Linked DNA regions of Lytechinus pictus. The protein of the gene in region 1 purifies or fractionates together with the protein of each later gene. This does not show direct contact. Links are inferred from orthologs where the notes say so. Each region holds a gene or a part of one and is shown in the gene's direction. Other genes may lie near its edges.

The links.
Region 2: the proteins of methylosome subunit pICln-like (region 1) and serine/threonine-protein kinase RIO1-like purify together in Homo sapiens (affinity purification with mass spectrometry; 3 studies listed by BioGRID and IntAct, with this or other methods). This does not show direct contact. The link is inferred for Lytechinus pictus from reciprocal best matches to the Homo sapiens genes CLNS1A and RIOK1.

Annotation. Positions count from the first base shown.
Region 1 is NC_087260.1:17,722,844-17,733,049, forward strand, and holds the start of methylosome subunit pICln-like, read left to right. Parts: upstream 1-6,014; 5' UTR 6,015-6,103; coding exon 6,104-6,225; intron 6,226-10,206. Other genes in the region: LIM and senescent cell antigen-like-containing domain protein 1, read right to left, coding at 3,062-3,072. UniProt on the Homo sapiens protein: Involved in both the assembly of spliceosomal snRNPs and the methylation of Sm proteins.
Region 2 is NC_087261.1:7,178,430-7,188,625, forward strand, and holds the start of serine/threonine-protein kinase RIO1-like, read left to right. Parts: upstream 1-6,185; coding exon 6,186-6,255; intron 6,256-8,683; coding exon 8,684-8,776; intron 8,777-9,161; coding exon 9,162-9,205; intron 9,206-10,164; coding exon 10,165-10,196. UniProt on the Homo sapiens protein: Involved in the final steps of cytoplasmic maturation of the 40S ribosomal subunit. Involved in processing of 18S-E pre-rRNA to the mature 18S rRNA. Required for the recycling of NOB1 and PNO1 from the late 40S precursor.

The DNA of each region.
Region 1 (10,206 bases):
CCACATGTTCAGAGAGGAATTAATCGTTGTTTCACTTGACAATGAGGAGAAAATTAGAATATTTCATATTTCATATAATAAAATACAAAATAAATAGTGAGTGGATGACGTCATCAGTCTCCTCATTTGCATACCGACCAGGATGCATGTGCATACATGTATACTGTTTCGTGAAAATTGAGCAAAACTGTAAAATGTCATAACTTTCTTATTTTACATCTGATTTTGATGAAATTTTCAGTGTTATGCTTGTTGGATTTTTTTTTCTTTTTATTCAAATCAACTTTTTGTTGGGGTGTACTTGTCCTTTAATAATGTGAAGTAACATGTATATTTACTACATGTATAATATAATAATGTAGATATCTTCGTGTACGACACTTAACACTTAGACTTAGATCTACATGTGTCTTAGTCTAGTTAACGTAGACAGTAACTTTATTAATAGTCTAGATGATTATTAATTATGGACAGCAACACAACCAAAAAGACAACACAAATTGTGACTGCCGCCTGCCCTATTTTTTAGTTCAGTTCTTATTAACCCCCCTACATCACATGTAATGTACCTATTACTAGTAAAGTAGTACCAGTACAGTCAGACCGCAGGTCCCTATGCTAATGAGCAAAAAGGCCAGATTCATCCAAATCATCTCGTGGCTGAATCCTCCTCCTTGCAAAATCTCGTGATTCGTGAGATTTTCTTTCTCTTAGAATTTACCTGTTTTAACCTCAAGTTAAATGAAATATTATTGCACCATCAGATAGAGTAAATGTTACTCTTTCATATTGGTCATTTATTTTGTATACAATATTTTGTTAAATAAGTAAATTTCTGGCCTGAAAATGTGCCTCAAAACTGAATTTTCTTCCTCTGTTTTCTTTTGCAAATTGTGCAAAACTTTTTATTTTGAGCCTCAATGATATCTATATCACCATAAAGCTGAACTTCTGTACTTTCTCACAATGCCACTCTTGATATGCGGCACCTTTTAATCGGATCAAGATCACACTTTTCCCACCAAGGTACAAGACGAGATTTCTGAAATTTTGTACATGCATGAAATCCAGAGTTCTGATTGGCTGGATAAGGTTCACAGAACAACAGGCGCGGGGTATTTGAGGAGATTACCACATGGGAAGTGTGACCTTCCCATGAACCCAGGCACTGGAACCGTTGGAATTTGCCAGTGTGTGGTCTCTTTGACCAATCAGAGTGCAGTATTCTTGTTTTCATGCTGCTTTATGTACTTGGCAAATGAAAAGTGTGATCTTGACCCGATTAAACCAATTCTTATTTTGAAACCTATGTCATTTTAAAGCATACATATTCAGCTTTATCATGATCTAAAAATCATTTGGGCTCAAACAAAAATAAGCAGCTTTTTTCATGTGAAAATAATTATTTTGTAGCATATTTTAGATCAAAATTTTAACCTACAGTATATTACAAAATCTTTGAATGAATTCAAACACATGACCTAAAACTAAAAGAATGATTCTTCTTCTTTACAATGATACCAAATTCATGAAATTCGATGCACAAGTAGAGCAGCAAAGACCGAATGAAAAGAGGTGTTTTGGTCCGCATCAAGCTCATTAAATATGCAAAACATCTCAAGTCATGAATATCAATTATCACTTGGATGAAAGAAGCCACTTTCTTGGGACCTGCCGTCTGACTGAGTAGTATAGTCACGTATTGTATTACCGGACACTATTATGTTTCCGGACGCGCGTATCACTGCGTTCTAAAACAAATTCGTACCGTAAGACTTCCGCAATTCAATTTCACAGAGCAATACATAGAACAAGATTGCAAAAACAAAGCAAAAAATCAAACTTTTACCTAATTATCTCTAAAAATTACAGAAAATGCTTAAAATATCATATAACATAGTTTTGTATTAACAATTGATATATTTTCTAACGGAAATATGGGCCTGATTTGCCGAATTTCAATCTCGTCCACTCCTTCGATCGAATGACGAGGTGTGGGGCATTGTGGGTGATCGTTGACGGCTAGTTCTCAAGGTACCCGTGCGCGAGGTTTACCGTGAGTAGAGCCGTCGATCGGCAGCGCATCGATAGAACTTGATGAGCGTCACGATACGAACGCGTGCATATTATTATTGGAAAGTGCCATGGAACATGCAGCTAACAAGACAAAAAGTTATCAAACACGAATTTATTACCAACATCTGCTCAGATTCGATATAAAAAAAGCAAATAATACTTAGAATTTACTCATGATATGATAAAAGAAGAAAAAAATCACAAAAATTTGTTCTTACATCATTATAATCAAGGATATCTTTACCCGTCCGGCGCGCGTCCGGAATCATGATGTAATTTGTCGCGCACAAAAATAATGGTTTTTCGTGGAGGGGTATGCGGCAAGTGCGATACGAAGAAATAGGTTGGTAAATATAAAATAATGTTATCATATTCATAATTTTCATAATATTTGGAAAAGCAAGCGTGAATTTTTCTTGATTGCATTTCCTCTAGTTGTCATTTTTAAAGCACTGAAAATATTAAAGGTGTCATGTCAGGCAATAATAATACTATTACTAGGCCCTATATACACTGCCATCACTAGTACTTTTAATTTTATACAAATAGTGAGTCCTAGTCCTACTACTACTAGTACTAGTACTAGTCCTAAAGGCTAAGAGTTACATGCCCTACATCATATGGGAATTTCTATTTGATCATTTACAATAATTGTAAAGAAAACGTCTAAAATACATGCTACCCAGCACTGTAATCAGATACCACTGCAGTAGACGTTTCTCAGCTAGCGGGTTTGACCTCTAACTCGCCGACGTGCTTAGGGGCAACTCCGGTATGCGAAGCATTCAGAATCCGCTGCATTCGCTAACTGCTTCTCCGTTGACTCATGCTGAGCGCGATAGAATTTCCATAAATAAATACAATTTCTGACTATAGGAACTGCTAATACATAGGAAATATACTGGAAATTGGTGGTTTAAAAGTATTCTAGCTCACAACATCAAAGGCTTTCAATAACAAGTATTAAGTTGATAGAAACACTCACGTTTTTGTCATCGGTGATCGATAAAATTTGCCAAAAAGCCACTCCTAAAAATATAATCCGCAGCTAGCGGAAGTCGACAACATCAACAGTGAAGTGTGCAAGAGGTTCGCTGATTCCTCTCTCAAGGGCTATGTCCTATGCATATTGCGATACTTGAGGATCAGCGAGAAACAGTAGTCACAGAATTAGGGCCCCGTCCCCACGGCCACACGATCGGCATGGGAGAGGGGCTATTGATTGATTAATTGATGGATGGATGGATGGGGGATGGATGGATGGATGGATGGATGGATGGATGGGTGGATGGATGGATTGACTGACGGATGGATGGGGGATGGATGGATGGGTGGATGGATGGATGCACTAGCGTACCTACGGGGGGGGGGGGGGGGCAGAGGGGGCAGACTGCCCCCCTGACGAGTCACAACCCATGCAAGGGACATATGCCTGCCCCCCCCCCTGACGAGTCTTGAAGACCTTTTTTTTTGCTTGTCAAATTTTTATCTGGTACAAAATCATTTATTTGTGGTTGAAGACCTTTTTTTTTTTTTTTTTTTTTTTTTTGCTTGTCAAATTTTTTTGGCGGACGAATTTGCCCCCCCCCCCCCCCTGTGGAAAATCCTAGGTACGCCAGCGCCACTGGATGGATGGATGGATGAATTTTACTTGGTAAGTCACCGGCCACAACATAATAACATTAAAGGCTTTCAAAGGAAGACCCACGAAAGCTCGAAAGCTTATTTCCAGTGGGGTCCTCGATCGATATGTAGGCCAAAATAGAATTGAAATAATAAAAGGTAAATTTATACTATTTACACACAAAAAGGAAATCACAATTCACTTTAAGCAATGAATAAGATATAGAGATGATATATACAAGAAAAATATATAAAGAAGAGAAGAAGAAGAAGAACGGAAGAAGAAGAAATTAAGAAGAAGAAGAAGAAGGAGGAGGAGGAGAAGAATTACGGAAGAAGAATTGAGGAGGAAAGGAAGAAAAAGAACACGTAGAACAACAACAATAACAACACGAAGAGGAGAATAGAAGGAAAAAAGATAAAAGAAAAATAAGGAAAAGAAAAAAGGACATACATATCTATAAAAAAAAATCAATCATATTTATGTAAAATAAAATTACCTGACAGAGGAGAAAAGATCACGGTCTGTATTCAGGTTGGTATAACATATCATTTGCATATTCTCTTAATTTGACTCTCAATGCTCAATGAAGATATGTATATTTAAAAAAATAAAAAAATCCCAATGAGATGATGATAATAATAATAAATACGTTTATTGAAAAAGAAAGTGGAGGCTGAAAAAAAATGGAGTACAAAATCATGTTTATAAAGCATTCAATTAATTGGTTTCTCAGGTTGGGGTTTTAAAGATACTGATAGTTAAAATTCATAATCACGAGATCCGGCAAAATAAAATAAAGAAAAAAAATATGAAAAAAGTAAATAATTGTATTTTTTCAGCCTCCACAACCTGTTGAGCCAAATCAACGATTTATCGGTCCGGAGGGGTTGTACAGATGAAGCCTTAATTGAAACTCGTGCCTATTTTCAATTATTTTTTGTGAAAGGGGGTACCCATTATTATTACGGATTTTCTTCCTAAAAGAGACCCATGTTGTGTTCTAGTCGTTTGTAATGGCATGTGTAACTTTAAAAAAAAAATTGTTTACTGACGGACGCAAAAATTGAAGTTTGTTGGAAAACTGGGAAAAAATGACTTAAATGGGTTAAATTTACGAAAAGACAAAATCATTTACAAGGTATGTTTAAAGGTCTAGTTCACCTAGGAAAAAACAAGTTAATTTGAAGAGAAAAATAAAAAAAGCATAACACTGAAAATTCCATCAAATGATCGGATATAAAATAAAAAAGTTATGACACTTTAAAGTTTCGCGTATATTTTTCACAAAACAGTTGTATAAATAACTCATTAAAATGCAAATGAGAGAGTCGATGATGTTCCTGACTCACTATTTCTTTTGTTTTTTATTGTTTAAAATAACTATTTAAATTTTTGCAGATTTGACAATAATGACCCTCTTGATAGGCCTACTATAGTTATAGAATCACAAAATGTTAATGATAATTACTCAGTCATGTTCAGGGAGGAATAAAACTTTGTTTCACATGACAACGAGAAGAAAATTAGAATATTTCATATTCCATGTAATGAAATACAAAAGAGTGGATGCCATCAGCCCGGGGTCATCAGTACCCTCATTTGCATGCCGACCAGTATGTGAATAACTATTACGTGAAATTAAGCAAAACTTAAAAATGTTATAACTTTCTTATTTTACATCCGAATTTGATGAAAATTTATTTGTTATACCTGTTTGATTTTTCTCTTTTTATTCAAACCATCTTTTTGTTGGGGTGGGCTTATCCTTTACAGATTTTCAAGCTCAAACTGATACCCCAATACAATACCCCATGTTTAAAGATTTTTCACTAAAAAAAATGACTTAATAGATCGATCGGGGTTCTCTCAGCGGAAGACTAGTGTGAGTTGATCGAAAGCTAATGATGGGCACTTGTCGTTCATTTCTACTAGCCTAGGCTATACTTTTCTCTAGAGACATTTTTAGTTATATGGGTAAATAGAGACGAGTTTGTGTCTACGACTTCTAATTTTCATACTATTCTCTCTTCTTCATTCATTTCTCTCCCCTTTTCTCCTCGGTATTTTTTCTCCTCTTCGGTACCTTACCCCTCCCCTATGCCTTTTATACGTCCTATACGTTTTATAAAAAAAAATCCATACGTTTTATAAAAAAATAAGCCTCTAATAATTTACCTTTTAATATCTGACACACACACAAAACAGTCTTTCAATGAAAAATCTACATTTTTTTCCGAAAACCCCCAAAATAAAAATTGAATTGAACGGTCGATGTTGAACCATGGCCATGGACCTTATTTGGCACAGCGCCATCTCTGTCGAATGAACCCAACGAAATTTAGTCGATTCGATGAAGATATCGCCATCACGCGGGTGTCTTGAAAAAAAAGAAGGGAAATAATGATGGGATTTATCGCTTCAATTCAACCTCCACAGTCATCAGTGAGGTGGCAGAAAGATGACACCATTGCTTTCGTGGAGAAACAAGACTTGTCTAAGGGGACATTATACATAGCTGAAAGGTAAAAAAAACTAAGTAATAAGGCGTGCGCGCTGCGCCGCGCCTGTCGGGCATGATCAGAGACTCCATTTAGACGAAACTCTAGCCGTCATGATCGGGGAAGAGTCGGCCTGGACCCGGTACAAATTGCGCTGGGATTTATTCCTGATCCTGCAGCAAGCGCCGCGCCCGACATGCATGCATGCAGCATGGCCTGGTCGTTCCGGATTATTTTTGCCAGGGGGTCGGCTAATGAGAGAGAATGAAGCTTGTGAAAGGCTGGATAATGGGCTCCAAATTCGGTAGGCCTACTGATGCATGTGGTCTGATACGATCGAGCGAAGTTCGTGCAGCCTGCAGTGCAGGCTCCACTTCACTACCGCTACTGGCGCTAGCTACAGTCACTAGTCACTACATGCATGTACGTCTACGCTCCACCAACCCGAAGTTCGTGCAGGCTCCACTCCACAGAGTCCACTACCGCTACACTACGCTCCACCAACCCGAACTTCGAGACCGTGAACTCGATCTGATATTCCGAGTGACAAAGGACATGAAAGGTGGGGTTTTATGGGGGGGAAATATAAAATTCATGCAACATCACGATATTTAATAAAAACAATAAAACTAATAATAATATTCTTACTTTACACTAAGTTTCACTTCTTTTCCATGCTTCTATCAGTCTCAAAATTGGTGATTTAGTTTAGAGCCAACATGAAGTTCCTCACACATAAATAATTCGCTGCCAATTTCAAAACATCGCATGCGGATGCGATACATTGTATGTGCGAGGTGCCGGGTCCGGTCCAAGCTCGGACCCTCGCGCATGCGATGTTTTGAAACCGGCAGCGAATTATTTATATGTGTGAGGATGTGAAGTGGAGTGGAGCCTGCATGAACTTCGCTCGAGGTAGGACTGATATAGACAGCTGGCAGCAGTCTGTTTCGCGGAGTTTTTTAACATTTTTAATTTTTTTTTAATTCTCGTACACAGACGGCTCGCGATCGTGCAGCCGCCATTAGGGGGTTAACAATGCAAAATCCAGCTGTGAAGCCTGTGATCCCTCCGATGCCGGGACTCATCGATTCTTGTCTTTATTTCATAAAAATATATAAAAAGAACTGGACTAAATTAAAGTACATGTATTCCGTTTTGGCCTGAAATGGCATGCACCAAAACGGGGAAAAATAAACTTCAAAAGGAAAAAACCAGTGACTTTGGCTGTCGCGCAACGCCATTTTCACTGGTTCATCCGAACTTCATACATAAACATACAGAGATCAAGTCCCTGTACAGATCGGGTTAGAACTTCGGTCTCTGTAATTGTCGAGTGGAGCCAACGGAGTTCAGCGGAACAACCAATAACAGAGACAGAAGCTTTTGGTCTAGGTCTGATACAGTTAATGTTGTAAATCGGATCAAAAATCAGATCGAAAATCGGATCGGCAGTTAAGCTTCTAAAATCGAAATCGAATCGAAAATCGAATCGGCGATGTTTAAAAACAAAGGAATAATGACATCAAAATGTTGTTCGCGGTCGCGCGCATCTTCCTGACAAAGTCACAAAGACGAATGCATTGGAATGGAAGTCGCCAACATGCGCGATCGTTTGGAACATGTTTTAAAGCCAGGGGTTTTGAGGTGTTATTGCTTTAAAATAAACCGAGTGATTTTTATTAGAAAGATAAACGAAAGACGCATCTTCCGAGCAAAGGCGCAAAGGAAAATAAAATGAAAATATTTCTCATAGATCAGAGGTTAATGAACGATCGGCGGGACATCTTTTAGAAGTATTTTTAGGTGCTAGCGATTTAGAATTATTGGAATGATCTCTTACGACGCATCATCTTAAAGTCGCAAGTGCAATTAAAATGAAGTAGAAGACGCAAGCACGCACGATGATTTGAAATGTTATTAAAATGTTTTGGGTAGCTAGCGTTTTCAAATCAATTTGAAGTTCACGGAGAAGATGTCTATCATCAAAAAAGGGGGTAAGAGAGTAGCGCAGTGAGCTCCGTCGGTAATACGACCTTTCAAAGTTCAAGGTAGTGCTGCAAGTCAGGCGCCATGTTCGGGTTCGGTTCGGTTCGGCAAGGTTCGGCAGAAAATTGCCGAACATTGGTTCGGTTCGGGGTTCGGTAATGATAGACTGATAAAAGTTATAGTTCATTCAGGTATACGTAGCGTTTCGGTAGACAATTTGTACTTGATTGACTGCATGTGCTCGCGTGTCCTCTGTCACATCAAACCATTTTATCTCTATCTTGCTGACATGAAACTATGAAAGTTATAGCGCTCAACGAATCAACTGTTATCTCGAATTTGATTATCTGATGACAGATTTATTGGGTAACTCACAGTTCTAAAATGGCGACTCTTCCTCGTCGTCCATACCTGGACCACGCTTTGGATACTTGCCAAATTAACTACGCTCGCACTCGTACCGGTACCAGTTAGGCCAGCGCATGCAGTCCCCTTGTAGCGGGACTCTGAGCTCATGAATATTTATATTTACAGTCCGGCCAAACGTGATTGGCCATTGCATCACATACGAGGCGGCCAGCGCCAGTGCACTGAACTGCAGGCATAGTAGGGCCAGGGGCGTGTCGAAGAAAGCGTGCTTATGTAATGCGCCTTTCGCTAATTGGCTCGATGGGTGAACTAAACCACCAATCGCATGTCGCTGATTGTCGCATTGGTACATACAGCCACGTGCTTTGTCACCCGCGAAACTCAGCTCACCGATTGAAAAGCAATTGCCGAGATTTCTATGATTTTATTGGTCAGATTTCATTCGACCATGAACATACAGACAAAGTGGGATGCAAAGTTTTACGACTGTAATGGGACAGGGGGAGTAGAGTGATCATCGAATTGTTTATGGTTAATTTGAGAAGTTGATAAGAAAGGGAAAAAAGTAAAGATTGGGGGTCATTTTCCCCCAAGAGATGACTGTTTCCGCTTTATCTTCATTCAACTTTTCAACGAGGGGAAGGGGATCTTGCTATATGCTATACCGTAATCATTCATGAGTGTTTGATTTTTATTTTCATCTGATTGTTAATAATAAAAAAGATAACTTCACCTCATCTCATTTCTATATTATTTGTTTTGCGTCTCTCCTTTCCATCTCTAACAGTCACTCACTTTATTTCCCACTTTCACTGGATCTCTCGTTTTCAAAACTCTTTACTTCTCTCTAGAATCATGAAAACTAGACAGTAGCGAGCCGACACCTCAATAATAATGTTAATCACCTCAATCAGATCTTTATTCTCCGCCGCAACAATACACGAGTTACGATCTTCATCACGTATCGTAATTCGTAATATTAATGGTACTTCATCTTTCACTTTCAGTTTATTGAGCTCGTTCATTCAAAATACTTTGAAGATTTTCAAACAAGAATCTTGTTCGCCACCTAAAAACAACAATATTTAAATAATTAGATTTAACCAATGAACACTCATACAGTTTTGGTTTTCTTTACCATGCTTCGGCGATTCGGCCACAGAGCGAGAGATGATGAAAGCCAGTAAAATGATTATAGCGCAAGCTCGCGCAACATCATTCATCGGATCTCCTTTCTTAATCAGGGCCGTAAAAACCACAATGTCAACATGAAAATGAAAACAAAATCTAGTAACCGCAAAATAAGCGCATACTTCCAACATACAATTGCAAAGAAGATTAGAGAATGCGCAAATATAATGATTAGAAAGGGTGTAAACTTACATGTATAAATTTATTAGCTGAAAGCCGTTTTTTTTTTTTTTTGCCGAACTTCCGAACCAAGTCTTAGTGTTCGGTTCGGTTCTGTTCGGTTCGGAAGTGCCATGTTCGGCGAACTACCGTTCGGTTCGGCGGTTCGGCTACAGCACTAGTTCAAGGCGGCATCCGCTATCACCACGAGATTAAAAATAAAATGTATATCATCATAAACGATGTAAGAGAGCAACGCAATAAGCTCCGTCAATAGTACAGTCTTTAAAAGTTTAT
Region 2 (10,196 bases), on another chromosome or scaffold:
AGAGATAGTTCTATTCTTCTGATAGCGATTCCATGCTTTGTGTTTCTCCTGAACTGCCTCACTTGCTTTCCTATCCAACCATGCAGACCTTCTACGTGATGGTTTGATCTTAGGAACAAAGAGGTCTGTCACTTCTCTCAAGGCCTGTACTATCTGTGCACATCTGGTGTTTACATCAGAGTTAGATGGTACTGCAAAACTGTTGTTATCCTTTACATAACTCTTCATTTCCTCATAATTGCCACAAAAGTATGCATAACGAGGACCTGGTTTAATTCTAACTGGGTACATCTCGATTTCGAAAGAAAGTACAAGATGGTCACTTTTTCCAAGTGGAGAACTCAAATTCCAGTATTCAATTATCTCTTCATGATTTGTAATTAACAAGTCCAACAAATTAGCCCGCTGGCCATTTCTCTGTCTTGTAGGTTCGGATACCAATTGTGTCAGAAATAAATCATCAAGCAATTCCAAGAACTGATCAGAAAAGTTTCTGCGACTTGTTGTTGAATTTCCTTCCCAGTCTATGTTTGGCAAATTAAAGTCACCAACAATAATGACATGAGTATGGTTGTATCGAGAGACAACTTCTTGAAGCTGGTTGAGAAGATTTTGATTATTTTCATCAGAACTATTTGGGCTTCTGTAAATGCATCCGATTAAAATCTTATCCCTAGCAGTTTCCAGAAGACACCACACACTTTCTTCAAATTCACATGAGATTGGCAAAAGTTCTTGAACTTGTAAGTGTTCGAGAACATAAATAGCTACTCCCCTCTTGTGTTTGCTTGGTAAAAAAAGTCGGTAGCCCGGCAAATTAAATTCAAATAGCTCAGTATCCGTTAGTGAGTTTTTGGGAAAGATCTCAGTCAATGCAATAATATCAGGTTTCTCTAAGTCAATTCGTATTTCCAATTCTTCCCGTTTGTTAAGAAGTGAGTCTACATTACTATACATGCATCTAAGGTGTTCTGGTGCTACATGTACATCAAAATGATCAGAAGAAACTGAAGATGTGGTATTTTGATAGTCTTTTCGATGTGTTTTAGTTTTCTTCTCGAAAGGATCTCGATTCGGTTTGGTTTTTATCAATTTCAGTGTTTTGTGTTTTTTTCACGAGTCTATCATTCTGTATCCTCCAGGTGGAGTCACCTGCCAACTGTCTTTTCTTCAGCTCCTTCACCAACTCTGCTCTTATTGACCGCTCCTTCTTCGTACGATCAGGCTGGATGTACACATCCTCCATTGATGATTCGTTTCTCAGTTGAATAGCACGCTTACATATGCTATCCCTGATGGAGCTACTGGGTAATTTTACTAATAGAGGACGTGGCTTAGAGTCTTGGCCAGGTTGACCGACTTTTCCAAGTCTTAAAGTCTTGAACTCACACTCGCAGTCAATTTTGAGAATATCAAATACTGAAGAAACTCTGGCGAGATCTTCATCTAATTTATCCTGCCTATCATCAGTTTCTTTTTCAGGTATGCCATGGATAATAACATTGCACCTTCTTTTGTCTTTCTCCTTTTCCTCGTCAAGGCATTCATTAACAATCAATTTCACTGAATCAGAGATACTGTATCCTGTGGTTCATGGCCATAGATTTTCATGTCTTCTCGTAAGTTCTTTAATTCAACATCAATTTTTGTGTACTGAATCTCAACTTCTTTCCAGTGATCAGCCATCACTTCAAGTTTCGACAATCTATCTCTTGTGTCACTTAAATTATTTTTGCATCTTTCTTCTACAATTTGGTCACATTTGATTGCTTCCATGGCTTTCTTTTCACATATCTTACAGAACCAATGTGCAGTTAAAACATTTCTAAAAAGTAAAAATTCATCCGGTGAGAGGGCGCAACATTTTGCACAAAACCATCCTTCGCATCTTTCACATTCTATACATGATTGGTTCTTGTTGAAGGGTTTTTTAAATTGTGCACAAGAATCAATATCTTCAGTTTTTGTCTCACCTGCATAGCAGAGTGAGACTATAGGCGCCGCTTTTCCGACGGCGGCGGCGGCGGCGACGGCGACGGCGGCGGCGACGGCGGCGGCGGCGTCAACACCAAATCTTAACCTGAGGTTAAGTTTTTGAAATGACAGCATAACTTAGAAAGTATATGGACCTAGTTCATGAAACTTGGCCATAAGGTTAATCAAGTATTACTGAACATCCTGCCTGAGTTTCATGTCACATGACCAAGGTCAAAGGTCATTTAGGGTCAATGAACTTAGACCATGTTGGGGGAATCAACATCAAAATCTTAACCTAAGGTTAAGTTTTTGAAATGTCATCATAACTTAGAAAATATATGGACCTAGTTCATGAAACTTATACATAAGGTTAATCAAGTATCACTGAACATCCTGCATGAGTTTCACGTCACATGACCAATGTCAAAGGTCATTTAGGGTCAATGAACTTTGGCCGAATTGGGGGTATCTGTTGAATTACCATCATAACTTTGAAAGTTTATGGATCTGATTCATGAAACTTGGACATAATAGTAATCAAGTATTACTGAACATCCTGTGCAAGTTTCAGGTCACATGATCAAGGTCAAAGGTCATTTAGGGTCAATGAACTTTGGCCTAATTGGGGTATTTGTTGAATTACAGCCATAAATTTGAAAGTGTGTTGGTCTAGTTCATAAAACTTGGACATAATAGTAATCAAGTATCACTGAACATCCTGTGCGAGTTTCAGGTTACATGATCAAGGTCAAAGGTCATGTAAGGTCAAAGAACTTTGGCCACGTTGGGGGTATTTGTTGAATTGCCATCATATCTCTATAAGTGTATTGGTCTAGTTCATAAAACGTGGAAATAAGAGTAACCAAGTATCACTGAACATCTTGTGCGAGTTATAGTAGTTTTCAAAATCAGCACTGCTGCTATATTGAATCGCGTGATGCAGGTGAGACGGCCAGAGGCATTCCACTTGTTTCTACATCAGTGTCCTTACGTCGTGACTTAGGTTTTAAAGTTTTTGATGGTTTTGTTACTTTCGTATTTCCTTTAGGATCACTTTGGGCATCCATATTGCAATATTCATTCACTGTACATCTACTCTTGACTAAGTTCAAGTTCACATGCAATAACGAAAGTATGGAATCGTATTCGTAAAAATCGTAGTGAACAGATGAAACGGTCACAGAACCACAGTTTCAAATGTCTAAAAATGTCATAAAACACACCTCATTGACGAAATATTGCAAATAAGTCTTTAATAAATATAAACAGTAAAATCGGCAATATAAATAAACTCACGACACCGCTTATCACACAACAGATGAAGGAAAATAACTTCGTCGACGTCAGTTCAAGTAGTGCTCGCCGCCATATTTAGGTACCGGAAGAGTGCTGCACACGAAATCCAGGTCCTATGTACCGGGGCCGGCTGGCCGGGTACGCACGTAGATCCCCGTTCACAGCGGGACGCAGTTACAAACGATGACCGACGAAGGAGAACAAATTTTCAATCCAAATCAATCCTCAATTTTCGTACATCAAAAACGATCAAAGTTTTTACTGGCTTGTAATATGACACCTAAGTCATCTATTTATTCAAATAGTATTAAAAATACGGATTTTAAAAGGATGAAAAATATATTAAAAACTTCCAAAATTAGAGCTGATAAAAATCACGTCCGCGTCAACCACACACACGCTGCTATTCTTACTCGAAATATGCGAGCTTTGTCCTCATTTGTTTATCATTTATTAAAAAATTGCCCATTAAATATAATAAACAACACAGAGTTTCACTTACAATGTACCATAGTGGGATGGAAGGACCTAACATTAAGGTATTAATTTTTCTTTGCTTGAAACCGCCTTCTCGAAATCATCGGATCTTATCGAAACTCGGTCAGTAATGAAATTGAATATTTGAGAACATTTTGTGAAAGTTTAATTGAATTTGGTTCGTAAAGCTAAGAGCCGGCGGAAATGAACTTCAATTTTGAGTGTTGTGAGGTGTTTGTGAATCTGACGCGACTGATCGAGCAGGGTTGTTTTGAGCGTATAGGAACAGCTGTGAGTGACGTCATCCCTGCTGCGATGGGCTCGAGATTAGTCTCGGTACTCAGACACAGTATGTTTCAGCCGTTGTATTTTTTTAAATTACGATTTGAGCTCTGTTAATTATGAAATTTAAATTGTTATTTTGAAAATAATTTTGTAGAATTCGTGCGAAATAAGTATTAAGAGCAAAACTGCAAGTAAACTTCAAGCATTTTGTTTGATAAGTAATTTTTTGTTAGAATGTGTCTGAATGTCTAGAATATGGTATTGTTAATGGAAGTCGTATTTTTGAATGGCACAGAAAGCTCCTTCCATGAATTTAATTTAGAAATAGGTTTCATGAATTTGATATCTGATTATGGACCTTTGTTATGGTGTTAATTATTATTTTGAAGATATTATGAAATAAGATAAGACAATAATGAGGCAATAGTGATGATGAGACGTTAATAATAATGAGAATAAATATTGAGACAATAATATTGTCCGGGGTAATTGTCGGGGTGGGGGGGTAATCATCCAGGGGTAGTCATATGCCAAATCAATCTGAGTACTTTAAGATTTAAATAAAAAGCTTGTACAATTCCCCATAAGCTATGTACATGTATTATATAAAGTGTGCCATTCCCAAAACAAAGAGAATAATAAGATTTTGCAATCGTCTTTTGTCCACAAAAAGCCCTGTTTTTGTATCACAAAGATGACAATAACTCGACTTCTAGATTTGAAAATTCCAACAGTTTTGTGAACAGATATTGAGCCTCATTGTGAGCATATCAAACATGCTGGAACAGCCTTTCTTAATTTTCACCTGGGCCCCGTTGCATAAAACTTTTGCCAGACTTATTTTTGCCATAGTTTTTCTATGGCAAAAAATGGGGGTGGGGGCTATGGGGGTGTCCCCCCTCCCGCGCAAAGCGCGGTAGTTATCGAAAATATCAATATCGACGAGCTTAGATTGCTGCTAAATGCACCACATTTTATGTCTATTTAATGCTTCTCCGGCCACACAGCCGTAACGGTTGCGCGAATTGCGATTGAAGCAGAAAGGCAATTACTGATAATTTAAAAATTGAAGTCAATCTCATTTTATACTTACAGTTTATAGATTATTTACATCGATAAATTAACTCCATAGTTTCCAATGTTCAGATCGATATCGCTACATCCTTAGAAAGTGCGATTAATTTTGTGAATGCGTGTTGTTTCTTATGTCAATGACCGACTGCATCTACGGACCGCATGCGTAGCCCGTGACGCGTGGTAGCGAGAACGTTGGGCCCCCCAAATTCTGATCTCGGCCGCCGTTCGCGCGATCGTGCCAAAATTTGGCACGCACATTCTTTGCCACATACAGTACAAGCCAGTATAAAAAGAATTCTGAAAATAATTATATTTTATTTGTTATGAATAAGATATGCAAATTTATTCGTGAAAAACATTATTTGCAAATTTAACACCCGATTTCACTTCAAATTTTCTCTTTTTTTCCAGATAAAGATGACATCTGAAATGTCATCTTTGTAAATAAAGGTCTCCATAAAGAATAATTGCGAAAGCCAATTTTTTCCTTATGTATTTCTTTGTTTTTTCATCTTTTGTTTTTCATTGTTTTTTTCAATGGGAATTATTACAGACCATTATTAACTAAATTAAACCCTGAAGTAATTAAGCAGACCAATTAGAAAAAAAAATTCACCCTTTTGTGAATATCAACTCCCCTAGACTTCGTACACAAAGTATAAAAATTAGCCATTTTCGGCATGACATTGTCTCATAAAAAGTCATGTGGCATCGCGATGCTATACCCGTAGGTCGCGAAATTGGTCTCAAAAGTTGAGATTACAAAGAAAAAAGTCATAAAATTTTGCGGTGCTACATGTATCTTTTCGCGTTTCAGAAATATCGCACGAAGCGTGAAAAAAGTCACAGAATTTTGCGATGCTTTTTTTTGCGTTTTAGAAATATTGCGGAAAGTGGGGGGGGGGGGGGGTGGCCATGATGCCCTCCAGTCCTTTTAGGGTTAATAGAAAAAAAAAACCATTTTTTTTCAATATTTGCTCACTTTCGTTAATGTCTGTATATGTTATGTTTATAGCTGGTTGTTTGTGAACAGTTTCTATAACCTTTCTCTTGTATGCTTATCTCATTTTAGGATGCACCCACTAAGAAATCAGGTGTCTCTTCCTACAGCTCAGATTGAGGAAGGAAATCTCACCCAAAAAGGTTTTAACTTATTCTGATTTTTCAAAGAGAAATAGTTAACAATCTTTGACAAGACTTCCATCATTATGTTCCCTCCATTGAACTTGAACTAAAAAAATTATGGTAAATGGAAAGGGTATGTACAGATATATGACATATATCTAAGAGATTTAGGAAAGAAAAGTTGGATACATACCAAAAAAAGGCATTTTTTGGTCTGCGTGGCATTATGTTCACGCATGGGAATAGTGTTTTTAATAGTCACTGCATCGGCACAGCAAAGCACAAATAGCACAGATGCTGTATATATCAATTTATCCAAGCTAGGAAGACAATATACATGTACAGTACTTTTTTTCAATAGATGCGGTATAAGGTATTCCAGCAATGTTTCGTGCAGGATTGAGTGTGTGTATTGAATTATTCCTGATCGCATCATTTTATTTAGTCAGAAAAATATATTCACTACACTCTTGGAGACTAGACTAGTCGCAATATCGGCATATAATTGCTGTGAAACCCATTGCTTTCAGCAATTCCTGCTTGCTCGGTGAGTTAGGCGACAGACTGGAGATACATCAGCTGTGATCGAGAGGTTCAAATCCAACTTGAAGTACATGTATTTGTACATGTAGAAAAGAAGAGGAAGAAATGGAGAACAAGAGAGGGGATGTTTGTTGTAGGAATTGTTTTAATTAGTGGAGGGGACATGATGGGAGTCTTTCCTAATTAATCTTTCTCATATTCTGTACTTAATATCAATTTAATCTATTTAGTTTCTCTTTTTCTTTTTCTTCTTTTTTTTTTGGGGGGAGCAAATTAGTTAATTCATGGTTAATGATGTTATTGTATGTACATGTAATTACAAGTGTCTCTTTTGCAGGAAAGCTATCCCGTGCTCTCCACTGATAAAATAAGAATCCACCTCGAAACCCAAACTCACTGGTTTCAGACCGCCTCGAAGTTCGCCGGTTCCAGGTATTCTCTGATCGGGAAATTTACCCCGGTGTGAAAGCAAACTACGCGTAATATCCCCGAAAGAAAATACCCGATAAATAGTAGGTACATGTACTTGGCGAAATTACGAGAACTTTCGCGGGGATTTTTCCAAGGTCGTGGGTATTTTGGCGGTCTGAAAGCAAATTACGGGAACTTTTAGCCCAGCGTGTCGTTGGGTGCGGCGCCGTGCATGGGTTGCTGCTGGGCTAGTGATTTTGAATTTCGCGCCTTGCTGCTTATCAGACCATACTGCGCATGCTCGTAACTTCAGGAACTTATCCCGAAGGGTATGTTTCAGGGCGGTGTGAATGCAGGAATAATTAATGGGTATTTTTCAGCCTAAAAAAGTTCTCGTAATTTAACGGGGATTCTTGTGATCGAGGCGGTTTGAAACCACCTACTGTCTTCTTTTTTTTTTTTACTTCCAGTAGGATTCAATTCTGATACTCCTTTTTTAGCCTTGGATTTATATGTATGTACTGTATGTAAGAGTTATGTTTAATATCAAAGGGAGCAGTTTCAAACTGAAAAGACACGGCAAGGAGAAGACTGCTCATTTGAGGAATTTTGTGACACACTCATTTTTTTTACATGGGGAAGGGCACCCAACAGACTCTCGCATAATATTGGCATGCGGTTGTATGTAATAGGCCTACATTTGGAGAAAATGATGGGTGGGATAGGGAAAGTGCACATGGGCGACATATGAGAATAATGCCACCCACTTTTTCCCTGAAATCTCTTAAGATACAGTATATTCTAATTTTGTTTTAGCATTTTATGAAAAAAAAATTATTGTCAAAATCACCCCTCCTTATTCGTCTACAATGTCCCCCATATGTTTTATACACAACCACAAATGAATATACAGTACATGTATGTGAAATATTGTTGGGCGCCCCTCCCAAGTGTTTCCTTGTATACGCGTTCTTTTGGCTTTCCAGTTTTCCCTTGTAGTGTCGTTGATATTTATAACTTGATTTTGCGACAAGTCTAGCATCAAAGCTACCTGTGGATTTATTTTTGTCTGACTAGATAAACCAATGCCATTGGCTATTGCATGCTCTAGATAACTTGATGGATTAATACAGGTTTAGAATATCAAAATACTTGCAAATTATGCTATTTTCAAAGAAAATAGAGGACCAAATAAATTAAATCAGAATTGCAGTTTGATTTTGTATCAATTCAAATGTTTTGCAGTTCAGAATTATAAACAAAAAGTCACTAACAGGCACAAATGACAAAATGTTAAACCCAAGCCTACTACATGTACATGTAATTGACTTACTATTATTATGATTTTTCTTTTTTTTTGTTAGCATTATTATTATTTACTGAATATGGTGATGCCGATAATGGTGCTGGTTTACGATGTTATAGTTATCATTTCCATTATTTGTTGTTGTCATTATCTTTTCATTTTCTCTATCGATTGATGAATTCCTAGTGCTTGAAGCATCTTTAGATGAGGCAGAATGGGATGAAGATGATGAAGGAGAAGATGATGATGACTATTATGACTGGGAAGATGAAAGCACAGGTTAGTGGACAAGATTGTAGTAAAAAATATGCATCTTTTTGTGCAAGTTTAATTTTATTGTTTGATCTTCTTCGACTCTTACTGTTTGCTTCCATGTATTGCTGTGAACTTGGCCAAGCAATTACATACATGTTCATGTTTTTATGGTGATACTGATGGTTAGTGATATTATTGACATCCCGATCATAATTTTCTGGTGATGTCACGATGGTCTGATGCTGTTGAAGATAAGTTCACGTTCATCTTCTTCTTTTCCTCCTCCCCACTGCTGTCTTTATCTTCTTTTTTTCCTGATAAATATATATACTTGTTCTGCTTCTGCTACATGTACATTCTTTATCGCTGTTGTAAAATAAAAACATGAAAAATATTCAATATCTTTCAGATTTTACAAAGAAGTTCAATGCTGTACGAGCGTGTAACCCTCAGGTAAAGTAAATACTGATATGAATACGCGTTTGGTACTGAAAATCGTATTGAAACAGCCTTAAAAACGGACATACATGTACTGAAGGTTTTTTACATGTACTCTGCGGAGTAAAATCACATGAATGACCAGAATGCTAGAGTGAAACAATGTATGTACTTGTATAATAGAACCAAATGACTTGTGACCATTGTCTCATGTTATTAGACTCTGATGAGTGCATGTCGAAAAGCTTCAGTATGACATATCCGTTTTTATGGCTACTATATGGGTTTGACCACTAGGGCCACATGTTATACATGTATGATATTGGGTGGCTCAGAATGGAATACCAGAAATCTACCAAGTGAGAGGGCCAATATTGTCCGAATACATGTAGTAGATGCCTGCTGATGTCCTATTAACCAATCATAAAGTGATTGAGTAAATCATGCCTGTTATCACAATAAGTTGTCTTTTATTTAAGTATCTTCCCCTCGTTTCGATTGTGTCATTCTTTACCCAATCTCCTCTATTCTTCGTGCTTCCAAAGATGTTTTCTGTTCTAGGGCCCTGTTGTATAAAAATGAACTTTGCCATCCAATACAATGCCTGGTTATGATGTTGAAAAATCTTAACAACCAATCAGAATAAAATGATTTATGGAAGTAACCATGATTAGACGGCTAAGTTTATACCATTATCACTTTCAGCCCCTAGATCTTGACATTCTTTGAATTTTTCACATTCACGTTGTGTTGTCATTCCTGGTGGGTGTTCCATAAAGCTGTTCATGACTTAATGTACAGCTGGGACATGTTCTTAGGTGCTAAGTCAGCTACAGAGGGATATACCATTTAGCACAAAAAAGGGTCACCAGTCGTGCGTTAAGTCATCATAACTTACAAACAACTACATGTATGTGAAACACCCATTTGCATATTCATTGACTTGCTTCTACCCATATTTCCTTATCGCACAGTCTAAACCCGGAATGAACCCAGCCAGCCACAA